Daphnia pulex: one gene and its partner. The protein of the gene in region 1 purifies or fractionates together with the protein of each later gene. This does not show direct contact. Links are inferred from orthologs where the notes say so. Each region holds a gene or a part of one and is shown on either strand. Other genes may lie near its edges.

Region 1 (9,327 bases):
GGCACTGAGTTTCGTGCGACCGGTCGTTGAACGCGTCGCCTGGTACGGTCTCTTTTCCATCCGCACACGGGCTGTTAGGCGCCAGCAGCGACTCAAGATGGCGGAAGTCAAACCCCGAAAAGACGCTTAACGGGACTAATGTTGTTGGAGTCCAGCCGATCCAATAGATTTTCATTCCACACTTCATCGAATCCATCAAAAGGCAGTAGTAGCCTTAAGGCTCTTCACGCTTTCTTCTGCTCATTGTTGTGTAAATGACTATGACTGTATCAATTCTAGGCTCACATAATTGTTCTTCTTTTTCACCGGCTAATCATTAATAAAAATTCATACACAATATTCTGTCAGGTTATGATATTATCGATACAAATTTTATGTATTCCGTACCATTTGAAAAGTAAGGCTGGCTAAGCGCACCATCGATGGAGATGACAAACTTGAATGACAATTGAATAGGAAAATGTAAATGACATAGAAGCTCACTGTTATGGTTCTTGTGCTTCTCAACTTATTAACAGCACATAAACTTTTAAGACTCGCGAGCAATGTGCACGTTAAACCATTTTTCTCATCTACACAACTCTACCGTTTCTCTCTGAATAACGACAACTCTCGTGTAACGAAAACTCGGCAGTGAGCTGCACACAGAAACACAGTCTGACTATGACACTGTTTGCACTTGATAGCCTTCGTTCTTGCCAATTTGGAAGAATGGCTTCGTAAATCGGTTGCCCGCTCATGAAGATAGACAACGTAGCTACGTAGAAGAAAAAGCGAAACAACAAAGTAAGCAAAAAGAATTTTAACATGCGACTATTTTCAAACCATCTGAGGGAATGTTTCCCGTAAGAAAGAAAACAAAAGATAAAATCCGTGGCGGCCAGGATTCCAAAGTAATTAGGAGAAACTTCGTTCATTCGCATGAAGGAATGGAATTAAAAAAAAATAATGCGACTTTTAAAATCCGAGTACTGCGGTTGTTGTTTTTTCTTAGACATCCTTGTACTGGGATAAGGTGGACTGCAGATGATCGACAATCTAAATGAAATACATTTCAAACATCTGGTATTAGTAGAGAAGTTGCAAAAAGAAAAAAAAGGAAAAATAAATAATAACCTTTTGATAGTAAGTGATCTGTTCCTGTAGGAAGATTTTTGCGGCTGCATTAAAATCGTGAACACGTTGTTGATGGAAATAGGACATTTCAGCCAGTAGCGTGTAGGAAACAACATCTGTTCGTTGTTGAGCACGAACTACAACGGTGCTTTCCGTTTTACCCTCAGATGCGGAGCGTTCCAACTCGCGCCGCTTTTGAAGGGCCCCCTATAAATTAAAAATTAGTATTGTTTTAAAAATTGCCGAAATTGCTGGGTTACCTTGTGGACGGTAATGATGTCGGGAAATGAGGCAAGTAGTCCACGATAATCGTGTAGTAAATCTCCCATCGGCTCGAAATCCAATCGTGGTTGGTCCTCACAAAGAAGAGCTATCTGATCATACGTGTCAGCAGTATGGGAAAGTGCTCTGGTCAGAGGAGCTGTCTCTAGCAATTCCATAGCCGTGCCAAGAGTTCTACAGAGACAAACAGTTGGTTAACAACAATACAAGGGCGGAGCACTTCTCTTTGAAACCTACCTGAATGATTGGCCAACACGTTGATAGTCGCGTTTATATGGACCTTGCTGCCGTTTTACTTGTTCGGCAAAGTTGCTTTGCATCATGCGGACAGCTGTATCAAACGACTGCACGAAACGCCCAAAAGCTTCGGTCTGAGAGTCACTATGATCAAGAAAAATGTAAAAGCGATCAAATAAACAGTTGAAAAAAAAAAAAACAACAACAAAAACTTACAGTTGTAGTGGGTCAAGCGACTTTTCTGGTACTTGTACAACACCAAAGATTGCGGCGCCAATTACTTCGTCTTTTTCAGCTTTCCGCTTGCCCGTTTTCCATCGTTTGGCATCTGTGCACGTTAAAAAGTGCAACCAGACATCGGAGCGTGAGAGAATTGGGTGGTCACACACACGGCTAACAAATGATTGCAACTGTAGACGTCTTCGCTCGATAAATTGTTCTTCATACCGACCTATTTTAAGTACACAAGTTCAGCAAATCGACTTCAACCAAAAATTCTACAAATATAAGAAATCACCAGAAATTTGCTTGTCTGGAAGGGGAGGAATGGGAATGATGCAAAATTTTTCCACAAGTCTTTCGTGAAGCCAATCGAAATGTTTGTATCGCCTAGAAACCTGGATATTGTTTAACGACGGTGTCAACTGGTAGGCAATGAAACTTTTTAGGCCTACGATGAAAACATAGAAACAAGTTGACACATTAAATTATATTTAAAAATTAGTCGACTAGGTTGTAAAAATATTACCTTTCAATTTTGATTCTTTCTTTGGTGAAGCCACTACACACGAGTAAGGTTGAGGATTCGGAGCCCATGTGATACCGTTGTTGGTTTCGATGATGTGGATTTGGTCACTATCAGTGGACGTCACTTTGTTTGCCCCCAGAATGTAAGCTTCTCCGCCAGTTTTAACGAAGTGAGAAAACCGGTTCAAATTTTTACGAACGGTTCCTTTACCGTCTCCCAATTTCAACCCTGCCATGTTGACATCAAGCGCACTACCAACGTCGCTATTGCTTCTCCCACCTGCAGCAGGGTTTCCCGGATTGCTACCTTGGTTGGCTTCAGAAACGTCATCATCCCAGTCGTCATCCCAATCATCGTCGTACTGGAAGTAGATTGAAAATACCTTATTAATACAGTTACCAGGAATCTCCACAATGTTTTTGGAATACCTGTGATTGTTGCTGTTGAATCGCTGGAGCTACATTTTCCTCTACGTATATCTGGGGCAATGGAGGAGGAGGCATAGCAGGAGGTGCATTGTAATTTTGTTCAATAGCCTGTTGAATTAATACAATAAAATGGTTTTTTGAGGTTTAAAATAATTCAATTTACATGTTATTAATACAGAAAAATCCAAATGATACAAAATTCTTTTCTGGTTTTACACTAGCATGCATGACATAACAGGAGTAGGAAGAAATTCATACCTCAACGTAGGCTGCAGGAAATATTCCACTAACTCCACGTTGATTACTACCTTCCCACCATCCTTCACCAACATCCTTACTAGTGACAGTTAGAACTTCACCAGTAACAATAGATAGTTCAGATGTGCCAGGCTGGCCTTCAAAATCATAAAGGACGCGCGCCTAGAAAAACGATTCATTTTGTAAATTAAACTGGTTTCGAAACCGGATATGGTTAATGAAATGGTAACAGCAGTTACAGGAGTGAGAAAATTTATAGTTCTAACTAGAAGACGAAACTGATAATTAGAAAAACCGGAATCAAAACTCAAAAGTTACCTGACCAGCCATCTCGAAGAATAAAAACTCAGCTTTTTACAATACCCCTGCTGCTGTGTGCTGTCAAACTGATTTCGTCTCGCCCCCTAATAACAGCTGAGAGGAATGAGTCAGTGATGAGCAGAGCTGAATCTGAAACCAAACGATAAGTTACAAAATCTGAGACCCGAGTGACATTTTAAGGCCCTAATGTTTCTTCTGTCTAGTAAGTAATGCCATCTACTGTAGAAAGATATTAACTGCATTGGTTTGAAAGAAAAACAAAAGAAGTACGATTGTTCGAATTCGTCTGCAACGTGTATTGGTAGTAAAACACGCGACACGCGGTATCAATTATTTTAGAATACTGAAACTTAAATGTATACATTGTGAAACATTTATTTATGAAATGTCGAAAGGCAAATCCCTAAGTGAAAGATTAGCCGAACTTGCCAATCCAACACCTCAGTTTGCTGATCCAGAAGATGAATATAACGAAGGTAACAAATTGAAACAAAATAACACCTACTTGTTTTTCTTAAAGTGTTTCTAATCTTTCTAGAAAGTAAAGCAAGGCTGGAGTCCTTTGATGACCAATATGAGTCGTATGATAACACTCAGGTGGTTAAGAATAAAGCACCAAAAAATAAATCTAATCTACGCCAAAAGAATGTGGAATTATTAGCTGTTTCAGATAGCCGATATGCTGGGAAGCGTGTCAGTCGCAAAGATCTAAATTCTCCTGTAGGAGAAGGCTACAAAAGTTCTGAGTCATCTTTAGAATCTGATAATGAAAGTGGGGAAGAAAATATTCTGGAATTTAAGAACAAATTCATGAAAGAAACAAACAACAAATCAGAGAAACCCAACATCTTCCAGGAATCAGAAGACGAAAGTGGTTCATTGAAATCTGATATTCATGAAGAAGATAGTAATGAAAGTGAATTGAATAAATCTGAAGATGACGAAGAAGCTGATTTTGAAGAAGGAGAGGGTGAAGAGGAGGGTGAAGAGGAGGGTGAAGAGGAGGGTGAAGAGGAGGGAGAAGAGGAGGAAGAAGAGGAAGGAGACATTGGAAGTGTAGATGACAGTGAAGGAGAAGAAAATGAAAAAGTTAAAAAAATGTCAAAAAATTCTCATGATAATGATATAAACAAGGGAAAATCTATCCAAAATCAACTCTCATTATGGGATCATCTTCTTGAGTGTCGTATAAAGATGCATAAAGGAATAAATTTATGTAATCAGTTACCTCAAGCTCCTTCAAATTACAAGCTTTTTACTAAAGCAAGTGGAGAAAACCATTTTGTTGCAGCAGGTCAAGGTGCTCAGGCAGCTATTAAATCATTATTGGACAACTGCCTTGAGCTAGAGGTAATTCCTGTTTTATTGTATTTTAAATTACTTAAAATAATAAAAAAATTAAAAATTCAGGAGCTTCTTCTTAAATCTAATCCACAAACAAAAGCATTAACGCAACGAAAGTCTAACGAAGAGGGCAGGTATTAAATGTTAATTTTTCAGTTTAAAAGGCATTAATTAAAATTTAAAAGTGTTTCCTTGTCAAATAGTGATGAAGAAATTCCAAGTGACACTGACGAAGAAGCTGGAGAAGACGACGAGGACATTGATGATGGAGGACCAAAGCGCAAAAAACAAAAAATAGTCGGATATGAATCCGAGATTGGAGAAAGACACGAAAAATTGCGCGGTTTTTGGCATCGTACACTGAACATGTGGAATGAAAAAACAAGATTAGCATCAGGGAGAACGGGGTCTGGAAGCAAAGCCGGATTTGGGGCTTTTGATCAATCTATCTTGAAACAAATTGAGGGTATCCTTAGCGACAAGCAACGGTTGATAAATCGTACACGGATAAAGAGATCTACCTATCGCATACTGGGATCTATTTCTAAACTCAGTCCCAAGGAAAATACAATTAATGGAAAAGGAGAGGAACACATACAAGTAATTTGATAGCTAACAATCGTTTTTTACCCCTTAATATGTTCAAGTAATTATTGAGTAATTCTCCTTAGGATGACCAACATTTACCCGAAACTAAAGAAGTCGATTATGAAGAATTCGATCCTGAAATTTATGATGACGATGATTTCTATCATCAATTACTTCGTGAGTTAATTGAAAAAAAAACTGGCGAAGCTGGCTCAAATCAAATTGCTCTTGGAAGGTTAGTAGCGTTTGGTGTTGTATCTAATACATGTTGTTTCTAAGTGTGAACTTTAAATGCAGGCAATGGTTAGAAATTCAAAAGTTGCGATCGAAAGCCAAACGAAAAGTCGATTCAAAGGCAAGCAAAGGACGAAGACTTCGATATCAGGTGCATCCTAAACTTGTTTCCTTCATGGCTCCGTATCCTGAGGCTTCATGGAATGACATTGCCAAAAATGAGCTGTTTGCCTCGTTGTTCGGGTCAGGGCCTACTGTTAAGTAATTGTGATGACTGTCTTTTATGTATGTTCTTTATATAAGACGTCTAAATAAACTTTCAGTCTCGTGTGTGCGAACAGCCTATTTTTCTACATTGTTTTTGTTAAAGTATTCTAATGTAGGCTTCAAGAAATTATGGCAAGCCGTTCGCGGCACTTTTCAGGGAACGCACAAACCTAAAAGTAATGCAATAATAGCTGTATAACGTACGAGCACTCGCATAAGCATAAACCTAAAACTAAAGCAAAAACCTTACCTAGTGTCTGATTTGGGACGTTTCATGTAGTCGATATTTGTTATAAGAAGGCAACAGGCAAGAGAGATTACCCGTGATCTAATACGCTAATATACTACATAAAATGCATTCTAAAGCATCTTCCATTACGGTCAATATCTTTTGTAATTATTTTGTAAATACAGTACAGTATCGTCCAAAAAAATCCGAACACCATGGTCTCTTTCTTTCTTTTTTTAAAATTCTTCGAGATTTTTTTCTTAATCCTAAAAAATGAACTTTGTAAAACAATTCATTCTACACATAATATGAAGTCTTGAAAGCTAAAAACAAAAAATATACACTAAACTGGGCTTTTGAAAAAGAGGTGCGTTCGGATTTTTTTGGACGATACTGTACCTACCTAAAGTTTGGGAACACGCGAGAGAACCTTGTGGAGAAAGGCGTTTTTTCTCGGCGTTCCCAAAAATCAAATTTTCGTCGGAACGAGACGAATTTTTTTTGGCCGTAGCCATTATGGAGAGCATTAAGCTATTTCTTTTTTAGATTTTTTCGATCAATGGAAGGGTAGATTTTAAATGAATCCCTAAGATTTGGAAAATGGGAACACCATGCATAGAGCTCCATGCAAATTAGGGTACTTTAAGGGGGGATAACAATAAAATGGGTTAAGCTAGGAAGACGCGGAAAACTATGAAATGAAGAACTTTACTAACTCAACAACAGACTTCATTTTCAGACTTTTCGCGTCATATATAGTCAATTGTAAATTTAAAATAAATTTTATTTTTTGGCCCGTTCTAGTCCCCTTCTCCCCTCCCTCCATTCCCACCCACGCCGAGTTGTCGCCCCCTCATAAGCGCGCGTTTTCTCTGTTTATCACAGAAATTTACTGAGCTTTAGTTAAAACAGGACCGGAATTGATAATATGTGATGAAAGTCATTGTATAAAAAACGACAAGACATCTTCTTCCGGTGGGCGAAAACGACACCTGCTACCTTCGACACTGGCTACCCGGGGGGTCAACACTGGCTACCCCGACACTGGCTACCCGAAACTGGCTACCCAGAAGGCCGACACTGACTACCCCGACACCGGCTACCTGACACTGGCTATCCCCAATTTGCTACCCCTGGAAAACGGTAGCTAAACAGAATACTCTCCTGGCCATGTGTATAGGGCTCTTTGGGATCTTCTCTTTGGGAGGAGAGAAAGGGGAGAAGAGGGAGAATGGGAGGACGCCCTCCTCCCTCCCATTCCTCCCATTCTCCCTCTTCTCCCCTTTCTCGCCCTACCAAAACGCCCAGCCATGCTGCGTTGCCAGATAAAACGGCTAAAGAAAACAGATCCCAAAGAGCCCTATTGTGGCCGGCTGATCATTGACTGTTGCAATGATTATTGCCGATTACCTTTAGCAAAACAATTCTATTTGAATACTGGTAAGTTCTTGAAAGAAAACCTTGCCAGGCAAGGAACTCCACACCCTTTTTTCTTGGCCAGGTCTATTTCCTTTTTTTATATTTTTTAAACCATTTCGGAATTTTTTATTTAAATAAATGTTAATTGATTTTACACATGATATAACTTTCGGAAATTGCAAAAAAATTACAGCATATTCCAAGACTTCAAAAGTCCCAAGTGGCAAGTTAACACAAAGATGAGACACTTGGACTGGGGTGACGTGGGATTGTTGTGAAAAACTTGGCTAAGATAGCGAATGATAATGACGCTTATGGTAGCGTTCTCACAATTCAATCTTAGAATGCAAACAAAATTAATAAGAGACCACTTTCTATTTTATAGAAAACTGCCTCTTACTTCTTACTGACTGATTTCAGAAAATAGAATGCGGTCTCTTACTTTCTTGAAATGCAAAAAAGTCTTCGATTCTGAGAGTGAGGGAAGTGTCTGAGAGAGATTGTGCAATTAAGAAAATTAATTTTATAAAATTTATGAATTGAGTGTTATTCAGATTCAAGTTGGTCAACACGCGTCTTCAGAGATATCTCGTTCGCGCCCACATAGAAAGTAGGGCCTGCTGAACGCCGGGGCCTGAACGTCCATGACCCGTTCGCGCTCGAAGGTTGGAATTTGTCGCCTTCATGGAGGAGAACAGAACATGATTTACGATCTCAAAAACAATACTGGATATGTTGACCATGGATGAAAGGGTAAAATCTTTCCTCTTGGAAAGAGTCCCAGCAGAGGTACAGTACTTAAAAAAAAAAAAAAAACTCGCGTCAGCTGTCCTGAATAATTTCTTGGTCTTGGCACCAGGTGGCCAAATCCTATCTCTCTTTATTTGCCGAAAAGAAGAAGCGGAATTCCCATATTTTACTGTTCTGCATTTTAGTGTCCAATGTTGTTCTCGTTGGCAGTTTGTGGTGTGTCGGCCGCTTCGAACGTCTTGTTTTCTTTTCTGTTTTCAGTGAAGTGTGAAGTTGGAGAAAACTGTGTTAAAGTTGCTGCCTTCACTAATTAACCTTGCTTCTTTCAGCACTGAAATTTTTTTTTTCAAGAAACCTGGTTTGAGTGAGTGAGTAGCTAAACGTCGTGTGTGTGCTTCTAGAACATATTTCATTGTAAACTTTCTATTTCAGTTATTGGACGATATCAAGATAACATTTCAGAACTGCAGACTGCATATAGAGATGAAATTGCAATGTGAAGCAAATGTGGACATTGCTGGCCTCCATGACCAGACTAGCAGGAAAAGTGCCAACACCCCCGTAAGATATTTTAAAGATCTAAATAAATGCATTATTGAACTAAAGTCTTTCAGTACGAAACATTATTGAATTCAACTACATTGCTTTTTGCAATTTGCTTTCAACCCCTTTTTTAAATTTTTCTAGGTTGAGGTTTGCCCCTAAATTGGGATTCATTGTTTGGCGTGCCAGATGTGTGAGAAACTATGCGGGACCTTGAGGCTTCAGGTGGACTGCAGATTATCGATCACACTTCACCTCCTACTGTAAGGGCACTGTTGAGTTTACATCCCTTCTACATTTGCTAAAGCAAATTTCTTTGGGCTATTTCAGATCCACGGTATTTCCCTAAGACACCGCTATGACTATGGCGGGTGTCAAGCCGACGACGGCTCACAACAACAGCCCACAACAACGGCCCACAACAACGGCGATGGCAGAGGAGGCAACAATCACAGCAATGGTAGGACGGTCGTCAAAAGAAATGCGAAAATGTCTTGCGGGCCATCCAGTGGGAACTCGCTCGCTTTTGGAAAAGCCCAACGAACCGGTTAACGACATGTCTT
Region 2 (9,086 bases), on another chromosome or scaffold:
AAGCCAAAGTTGACTCATTGGGATTCAGTGTGAATAGGATCCCTTCGTAACGGATCTCCGACTTGGAGATGAGACTGATTTTACTGCCTAGTAACTGCATAGCTTTACTCATTTTCGAAATTCAGCCTTAATTGGCTACACAATTTCCGTCCCAACTCGATGAATTCGGATAAGTATTTTCGTCTAATCGGAATCCGTCGCACCGGTGATCGAAAATTGAATGATTTCCAAAAAGAAACGAAGCTACACAAGAGAACTCAACTCCGTTGTTAGGGGCGACGTTGACAGATTTGTTCGAAATTTCAGCAACTGCAGCCTGTTGACGAAAGTGCCTCGGGATGTTTCGTGTCTTGTTGCTAAATTGGAGGTAGAGTGTGATTTGTTTTAATCCATTTAACTTTTTTCAACCTGAAAAGAAAAGCAACTTATTATTCCCGTAGATTATTTGACTATCCAGTATCTAATTTGTATTTTGTTTAATGCTACTTTCCCCCAAGTTTTTTTTTTCATTTTCATAGCATGTGATTGTGACACAAAATTTTTTCCAAAAATGATTTCTTGAATTATTCCAATGAAATATGGAAGTGATAAGAATTTTTTAAATTACAGATCGATGAATAATACCAAAAAACCAAATATAAATAATAAATAATGTCATTTGTGGTTTGAAAAGCTAACGAAATAAATCGATTGGTGATCTCATTTTCTTAAAATTAAAATTTTACGGTAGTAAACTTAGAGTGATTAAATTTATTAATCAGTTATTGATAATATATAGTCATGCAAATTTATTTAATCAAAAATAAATGATTAACTTGAAAAGTCTTTTACGTAATATATGGAATTAATTGATGTTTCAACGTTGCATTTGACTTGGACGACCCGTTACGATAATTTCGTCAAAGATGGCCGGAGTTGCTGGTAAATTCGTGAAATCTGGGCTTCTTAGAGTCCAAAACAATGCCGTTATCCAGGTTTGGAATGCTTTAAGCATACTATAATATTCATTTAATCCAACATAGGGAAATAACGTTCGAATCTTGGTTTTAGCAATCCCATCTGTCTACGTTGCGTGAGCTCTCGGCCGGCAAAAAAGCGGTAAGAAATAATACAAGGAAGTGTTTTAGGTTATCAAATCTCAGAATATTGCATAATTTTCTTAGGGATTAGCGGTAATTGGGTCTCTAATTGGTGGAGCAGCTGGTTTGGCATACACTTTAGACCAGTCGGTAAAGGCTTCAGGCCTGGAGTTACATGCTCCCAGTTTTCCATGGAGTCACAATGGGCTCTTTTCATCTCTGGATCATGCTAGGTATGCTTAATTTTAAAGTGATTTGTTGTTCTGAATGTACATAACTATTTTTGGAAATAGCATACGTCGTGGTTATGAAGTCTACAAACAAGTCTGCTCTGCATGCCACAGCATGAAGTATTTGGCTTATCGCAACTTGATTGGTGTCAGCCATACAGAGGATGAAGCCAAGGAGGAAGCTGCTGGCATTCAGGTCTGTATTAATGGTTTAACTGTCAATTTTCCAATGTAGTTCAAAGTAATATCCATTGTAGGTTACTGATGGGCCCAATGAAGATGGTAACATGTTCCAACGCCCTGGTAAGCTTTCTGATAGATTTCCGAGCCCATATGCTAACGAAGAAGCTGCCAGGAGCGCCAACAACGGTGCCCTTCCACCAGACCTAAGTTACATTACCGCTGCTCGTCACGGCGGAGAGGATTATTTATTCTCTCTGTTAACTGGCTATACCGATCCACCAGCTGGTATCACATTACGTGATGGTCTTTATTATAATCCTTATTTCCCTGGAGGCGCTATTGGTATGGCTCAAGCTCTTTACAATGAGGTACGATTTCTGTTCACTTTTTCAACAAAGCGATTCTAACAAGCATATCTTTGATCTTAAGGTGATTGAATACGCGGATGGTACGCCAGCTACTGCCAGTCAAATGGCTAAAGATGTGTCCACCTTCCTCAAGTGGTCAGCAGAGCCCGAACATGATGATCGCAAGAAGATGGCTTTGAAAGCTTTGATGCTATTCTCCTTCTTGATTTCAGTAGCTTACTACTGGAAACGCCACAAGTGGAGTGTTGTTAAGAGCAGAAAAATCATCTACAAGCCAAAAGAATAGGATGTGTCGATTACAGAAAAATTTTATGCAATGTAGAAGGGAGGATGACGGTGCAATCTTTGAGCTCTCCCTACCATCATCTACATTTATTGGTTTAGACACCCAAAAACCGATTGATATAGCGATTGTACATTCGAGTCAAAACATCTTCGACTCAACTGTAGGAATAATAATAAAGATAAGGTTTAAACACCGTAAACACGAAATGTCTTGTTTATTTCACTTAATCAACAAATAAATCAAAATCTTCCGCGACCACCCCGCCCACGACCCCGTGTTCTCAAGTGATTGGCAGATCGAATAATTTTACGTCGCTCTTCATGATGTTGTTCGGCTTGTTCTCTAGCTTTTGTGACGCGTTCACTCTAAATGGTCAAATTTTAATTAATCCGTAATTTGAAAAAAAAAAAAAAAAACTAAATTATGATGAATACCTGTGGGAGCGTGAAAGTCATTTCTCTAGAACCAGCTGATGGAGCAAGCTTAACTTTGTCTACATCTTCTTCTAAATGAATTCGCTCACCAAGCGAAGCCCTGAGTCAAATTGAAATAGCATACAACATTAAAATGTAAACACAACAAAATCGAAGATAATTATTGATACTTGGCCAATTTCTTCTTAGGTTGATCAGTGGTTGAACGGAACCCTTGGAATTTTTGCCCAGGTTTTAATGCCATGAACTTAGGACCTTCCAGCTTCTCTTGTTGTCTTTCCAATTTTCTCTGTTGAAACTTCTCTTCTCTTATAATCTTATGCTGTAACTTGATTTCATTTCGAAGACTTGCGTCGTCAGAATCACTGCTGCTGTCATCGGTCTGTTGGGGAAAAATTGTATACAGTATAAGAAACGTTTACCATTAACATGCGGTATGAAGTATTTGTATTACCGAAATTGTCCGTTTGCGACCCTTTCTTTCACTATCTGAAAATTCATCATCATTAAGTGGATTTTCCGTGCTCGTTCCCTGCAATGAATTAATTACTTTATTGTGTCATTTTGTAAGGAGCTATTTTTTATTCCTACCTCGACGGGCTCGAACTGGTCTTCGATGAGAGCCTTTTTGATACGTTTTTCTCGGATTTTGTCCAAACGTGAAACTGCAGGATTTAGTAATCTGTTGACGGAATAGGAACGCATTGTTTACACTACCAAGTCGTTTTGTTCTACATCACAAATAAATATTACCTGAATTCTTCAGAAGATTTGTCTATCTGGAAGTTCGGGTTTACGAAAAGATCTTTGAAACGCGAATCATTTAGAATGTTGGAGCTCATAAGTAATTTTGCACCACTCTTCTTTCCAACTGCTTCAGCATCATCAACCGCCTTACTATCCTCCATAAGCTTAAGTGCAAGCTCACGGTTAATCGCAGGAAGTTTCTAAAAAACAAACAATTATTGTTTTTGATCCAAATTTGAATTTTAGGTGTATTACCTGCAATTGAACTCTGCTGGACCGCTGTTGGTCAATTGTTTCCTTTACTTTATTCTGTTTGTAGCGGGTAAGTGATAAAGGTTCAACAATGGATTTGGCTTTCCTATATAGTCGCATGTCGATAAAATAACCGTGCATGTAGGCACGCAATAGATTGGTCCCTATAAAGGAAAAGGCGTGTTAAAAAGAAGAATAGAATTCTAATAAAATTTGGAAAATACCAATAAGGTGACCGAATCCGAGGTCATGTAGTTCATCTACTGTCAAGAATTTGTAATCGTCATAGACGGCAGCAGTTTCTCCCTCCTCTAATTCTTCTGTCAACGAGTCAAGGAAACTACACCAACGAGGAGCCGGTCCAAGATTAGGTATGTAATAAGTGAGCATTTTTTTGTCTTCCGTAGCCATGAACATCATACCACTTGAAGGTACCAAACATAAATCGTTCAAATCTGATGTTGCTTCAACAGAAACGTAAGGTTCACCCTATTGACATTAAAAGTATTATAGCATTTTGATTATTATTTTTTAATTTTATTTACCGTATTTCTATCCCACAATCGAACGATTCTGGAATCCATTGACGCTACCAAATCATGATTCAGGTGATGAAAATCTACTGTTTTTATTGGAAGTCCATATCGGTGGTCTTTCACTTTAGTCGGACGATTGGATCGCAAATCATAAAGTAAGATCTGGCCTGTTGAAGTTCCAACTCCCAATGTCAGTGCATCACGGAACTTGACAGCCGTGACTTGAGGGACACCGGTAACTCTATAATTAAAAACATGGTAAAATGTGATCTAAAAACGTTAAAAAAACCATTTACTGAGTGTCAGGTGTCACAGAGTGTAAAGCACAATCGAGAACTCCCACTCTATTCCTTGCACGAGGATCCCATGCCTCTATTTTTCCTTCTTTGGAACCACAGACGAACAGCTGATGAAAGGGATTCATATCACAAACGTTAAGAGTGGTTGCTTCTGTTTGAAATGAATTAAGAAACCTCCCTTCTTCTAAATTTAAGCGATACACGTCTGGCCTAAAGAAGATTTACAGTTAACTAGAGCAACTAAGAGTACTCTAATCTTATTGCATACCCGGTACCAACTATGTAAAGGTTGCATGACTGAAAATGATACTTCAAATCTCTTCCAAATTTCGGTATTCTTGTTCTATAGTATCGGCCATACTGAGCGTGAAATTCGACAAATCGATCACACTGCAAGAAAACTACTTTGCTGTAATCCTCTGACAACATTTCAAATTTGATGACTTCTGCATCCATACACCGTTCAAATTTCATGGACAGATTAGCTACTTCATAGCACCGAACTCTTGGTTTGTAGATGCCTGTAGCCATAATATATTTCCCATCCTTTGAAACTTTGATTGAGGTGCTAACCCCAGGCATGTCAAAATCTTGAATGAGCTCCACTCGCCTTCTGATGTCCAAGTCTTTACTTTGCAAGGCTCTCTTTTTTCTGTCTGACAACCACTGCAAAAACAAAAAGAAAATGAGATTTTTTATACAAGACATTAGCCTATCTAAACATCAGAAAATTTTTTAAATAAATTTATGATATTATATTAATCTAGTGATTGTTACAAGCATGGCAATTAACATGCTAACTAACTGTCAGGGAAAACTATAGAAACCACAGAAGCTATGTATACTCATTAATAGCTATTTGAAAGGGAAATTAACACAAAAAGACACGCTTACCTCTGGCAAGGATTTCCCAGCACTCAAATTATAAATTTTCACATTGTTAGAGCTTTGAATCAACATTCTGGTAATTCTTTTGAGAACCTGTCGAAAAACGATTTCACAATCTCACACAACACACGTGCACAATAACTTTAAAATTCGTCTGCTGTTGAGCAGATAGCCGATTAGCCGAAGCTGCTTCAGCTCACGTCTTCTCTTATTACCACTAGATGTCTATCCGTTCGACAATTGCAATGGCGACCTCAAAATTTCGTCTTGTCCAAATCCTTGGAAAACAATTGAAACAAACTCCAATTCGACATGAAATTCCTTTTTCAACTGCTCCAAAAGTATTGAAAGAGGCTGCGGCAGCTGATCTTCCAACTCATACTGGACAGGTAATTATTAGATTTACATGTTTGCTGTTACATATCACAATACTTGGTTGAGAAATTTTTACACATTCGAAAGTCCATGGAAAATCCGAATTTATTTATTTCAACTTTATGTTCTTTAGAAATGGGATGAATCTGATTTTCGTTTAGCTCGATTTGAAAACGCATCGAAGCAAGTCAACACCCGTTTTGCGATTGACCTAATTGCCCAGGTTCCACCAAAAGAAACCAAGTCCCGAATTGTGTCTTGTAATGGAGGAGGTGGCCCACTAGGACATCCACAAGTTTACATCAATTTGGATAAACCCGGTAACCATACTTGTGGCTACTGTGGGCTTCGTTTTGTGAAACCTGATGATCATCATCATTGAAGTTGAAAAAGGACTGTAGAGTCAAAATGTTAATAAATACAAAATAGAAGTTACTTGATAATCCTAATTTAAGTGCGCGAATGTGTGTATCGACAAGATTTCTGCATGGAACGTGTTCCATTTCTGGCAGAAAAAAGGGAAATTTTTTTTAAATAAACATTTAATATTAGAATTTCGAATTGAAAATGAGATTTTTTATTTTTGACCCTTTTCCCCCTTTTCCCCCTTTCCCCCGTTATAGATAACTCTCCCAGGTGTTGTCGCGAATTCTATTTTGTTTTATTTTGTAGGAAGGGTAAATATCACCTACTAGAAGAAAGGAATTTCCCACCTCCGTCCGGCTGTGGCCCGTGACGTTTAAGCCCGGGACATGTCACGGGACGAGGGGAAAAACCCCAAACAGTCATCCCTCTAAGAATTTTTTTTCTTTGGGGCGGTTATAGGGATGGATCGACGGTTCGCGGGATATTCCGAGATATTGTGCCATCTAGTAGTGACTAAAAGAAACTTCCAACGCTAGATTGCTGATAAATTACCGTAAAGAAAATTATTCTTTTTTCAATCCATAAAGGGATCAAAATTTTCCTTCCAAATTTCCAATGATTTAGTCTCACACAGTCGCACGCCATTCACTCTCGTCAGTAAATAGAGAAATTCGCTATTGTTTCCCGTTGAGCGTTGACCAACAGAACCAATTTGGGATGGTCAATGTTGATGGTCTATATTTACAACAAACGCAATTGACATCAATGAAAATGCATGCACATATTTTATATAAAGAGTGCATTGTGTAAAGCCCTAACGTACAACTATATTGATATTATTTTAACAAGAAAATAAAGAGGGCAGTCGGTGTTGTGCAAACATTGTGCGGCGATCCTCCTTGTATATCGGTACCTTGTATGTTTACTCAGGCGCAATGTCACGCTCTGTCAACATTTTCCTCGCTTTCCGTTTCTTCGTGATGTTTCCATTGAGCCTTAGGCATAGAAGGAAGATGGGTTGGTGCGTTTATATTGTGATTGCTTGGTCGTCTGACGCTAATAACTTGATTATATAAGTTTACTATTAATGCGCAGTGACTACTTCGTTCCGTCATTAGCATCTCAGTGACACAGCGCGACTTGGAATTTATTTGTCATTTGAATAAATAATTTGAACATATACGGCTGCATCAATGCTGTGAAATAAATAAAGAGCTTTTTTTATTTAATTTCTTTTCTACATTCTATATAGTGTGTTGAAGAAAACTGAGCGGCGAGGGAACCAAATGATGGGTCTCTGCGGTGAAAAGGGTTATCTATCGCTCGTGGCTCATTTGAATAATTATGGAGCGGTGGTCAGCCATCCGTATCAGTTCCCTCTCTGAATGGTACCGTTTTTCTAACTTTTTTTCTCCTTTTCATTGGTTGGTTTCCCTACGTCTTTGCCAACGGAATAAATATGTTCACGACTTCAAATCAAACAGAATAAATGGTATCCGAAAGTAGAATGACTTGTTTTAATGTTGTTGTTACAACAAGCATTTGTTACGTTGCATTAGATTCGCTCGTTAGATTAGATCTTAATAAAGTCAGAAACGGTCTCAAATATCCAGGATGAGAAACCATCCTGTTTACACTAAACTCGGACTCAAGACTCGGACTAAAATGGCTGTTGTTTTCATTAGCTGCAGGTAATTCCTATATCTTTTTTGGGTCCCTTTAGCAAAAGTTCTGAACCGAAACGGCTTTTCAAATGCCCTCACTTGAAGACGGAAGTAAATGATTCATGTTAACTGCCGCTTGTGGCTCAGTGCAATCATCTAGCGCTTATTTTATCGTCGTTGCTATGTTTACCGTGCTGACTGCTCGACAGGTGGAATGAAAATTCCTTAATAAAACTGTCTTTCTAGGAACGAAATATGTACGTTTGACGCGCGAACTTGAACAGGAAAGTCAAGTTCGAAACTTGATGTCGTGAGATTCGTTGTATTATTTATGACACTATCGTAAAGTTGGGAAGTTGATTATTTTTCTCGGAAGGGAACGTATCTCCGATTCAAAGCCATTCGAACGGCAATGCGAGATGTGATGATAGGCCATTGATCGCTTAGTTTGACAACTGCCGCTATAGTTCAAAATGCCAAAGAATATACCGAGTATCATATTCCACTTTTATTTTTCTTTAACGCTACTTGGTGATCGCTCATGAGTGACATTAAGAATATACAAAAATAAATAACAAGGCTGATTTCTCGCATTTCAATTTCATTAGAGGTCTTTAGAGGTCTTGACAAACTGTTTAAATTGATCGGGCACTATCAGCAGAAATTGAAAATGCCGTTGCTAATTCATTTATTGCCAAGGCTTTGATTTGAAAAAGCTTAGATGACAATACATTTTACAGCCCCTAATAGAATAGACAAAAAAAGGGCTGACTCATTCGTTCAGTTCACTGTGTGTGGTGGCTTCTATTTCGAACTGATGTGTGAAATCGGGTCTAATTATTAGTCCGCCAGATGGCAGCCGAAACATAATCCAACAGAGGGACGGACCCCTCGGTATGCGTTGAGTCAAGGAAAGATGAGAACCAATGGTTTCTGGCTATTTGCCGGCGCTGCTGGCGATTTTTCGTTTCTGTTTTCTTCAAAACAAGAGGAGAAATTAAACCGCTGCGATTTGTGATTGACGCCAAATGCACACAGTCAAGGCGAACGTGTTTTTCCAGCCGTCCGAAAACAACACGCTCTCTCTCTCTCTCGCCGTTACCTACCTAGGCAGACTCGACTCGTTGTTGGGGTTGTTGGAAGGCAAACGGATGGAAACACCCGCTGGCTGGCACTGCAGTCAGTTGTGTGCCGACCGGATCAGACGACGGATCTCGTTCTATTCGACTCCCGTTTCCGCACGCGCGCGCGCGCCATTCCAACCGGAATCTAGTGTGACACGTGCTCATCTTTGATGCGTTTCAGCCCAACTCTATTGTTGACCGAAAAGTGGAAACGTATTGATTCAGTGTGTTCTGTTGTGGCCCCCTAATTACCTT

Evidence for each region.
Region 2: the proteins of protein AATF-like (region 1) and nucleolar protein 10-like purify together in Homo sapiens (affinity purification with mass spectrometry; 4 studies listed by BioGRID and IntAct, counting the BioPlex papers as one, with this or other methods). This does not show direct contact. The link is inferred for Daphnia pulex from reciprocal best matches to the Homo sapiens genes AATF and NOL10.

What each region holds. Positions count from the first base shown.
Region 1 is NC_060028.1:5,995,293-6,004,619, forward strand, and holds protein AATF-like, read left to right. Parts: upstream 1-3,660; 5' UTR 3,661-3,775; coding exon 3,776-3,866; intron 3,867-3,928; coding exon 3,929-4,740; intron 4,741-4,800; coding exon 4,801-4,868; intron 4,869-4,937; coding exon 4,938-5,334; intron 5,335-5,405; coding exon 5,406-5,557; intron 5,558-5,619; coding exon 5,620-5,821; 3' UTR 5,822-5,901; downstream 5,902-9,327. Other genes in the region: very-long-chain 3-oxoacyl-CoA reductase-B-like, read left to right, coding at 1-130; sorting nexin lst-4-like, read right to left, coding at 991-1,038, 1,117-1,323, 1,377-1,572, 1,636-1,779, 1,852-2,086, 2,153-2,305, 2,384-2,744, 2,812-2,919 and 2 more. UniProt on the Homo sapiens protein: Part of the small subunit (SSU) processome, first precursor of the small eukaryotic ribosomal subunit.
Region 2 is NC_060022.1:6,104,919-6,114,004, forward strand, and holds nucleolar protein 10-like, read right to left. Parts: upstream 5,472-9,086; 5' UTR 5,375-5,471; coding exon 5,309-5,374; intron 5,081-5,308; coding exon 4,683-5,080; intron 4,625-4,682; coding exon 4,412-4,624; intron 4,357-4,411; coding exon 4,125-4,356; intron 4,069-4,124; coding exon 3,804-4,068; intron 3,744-3,803; coding exon 3,583-3,743; intron 3,528-3,582; coding exon 3,334-3,527; intron 3,263-3,333; coding exon 3,172-3,262; intron 3,113-3,171; coding exon 3,035-3,112; intron 2,963-3,034; coding exon 2,751-2,962; intron 2,681-2,750; coding exon 2,581-2,680; intron 2,512-2,580; coding exon 2,386-2,511; 3' UTR 2,342-2,385; downstream 1-2,341. Other genes in the region: protein LSM14 homolog B-like, read right to left, coding at 1-112; cytochrome c1, heme protein, mitochondrial-like, read left to right, coding at 906-974, 1,051-1,098, 1,164-1,312, 1,373-1,505, 1,567-1,860, 1,922-2,146; NADH dehydrogenase [ubiquinone] iron-sulfur protein 6, mitochondrial-like, read left to right, coding at 5,524-5,691, 5,811-6,059.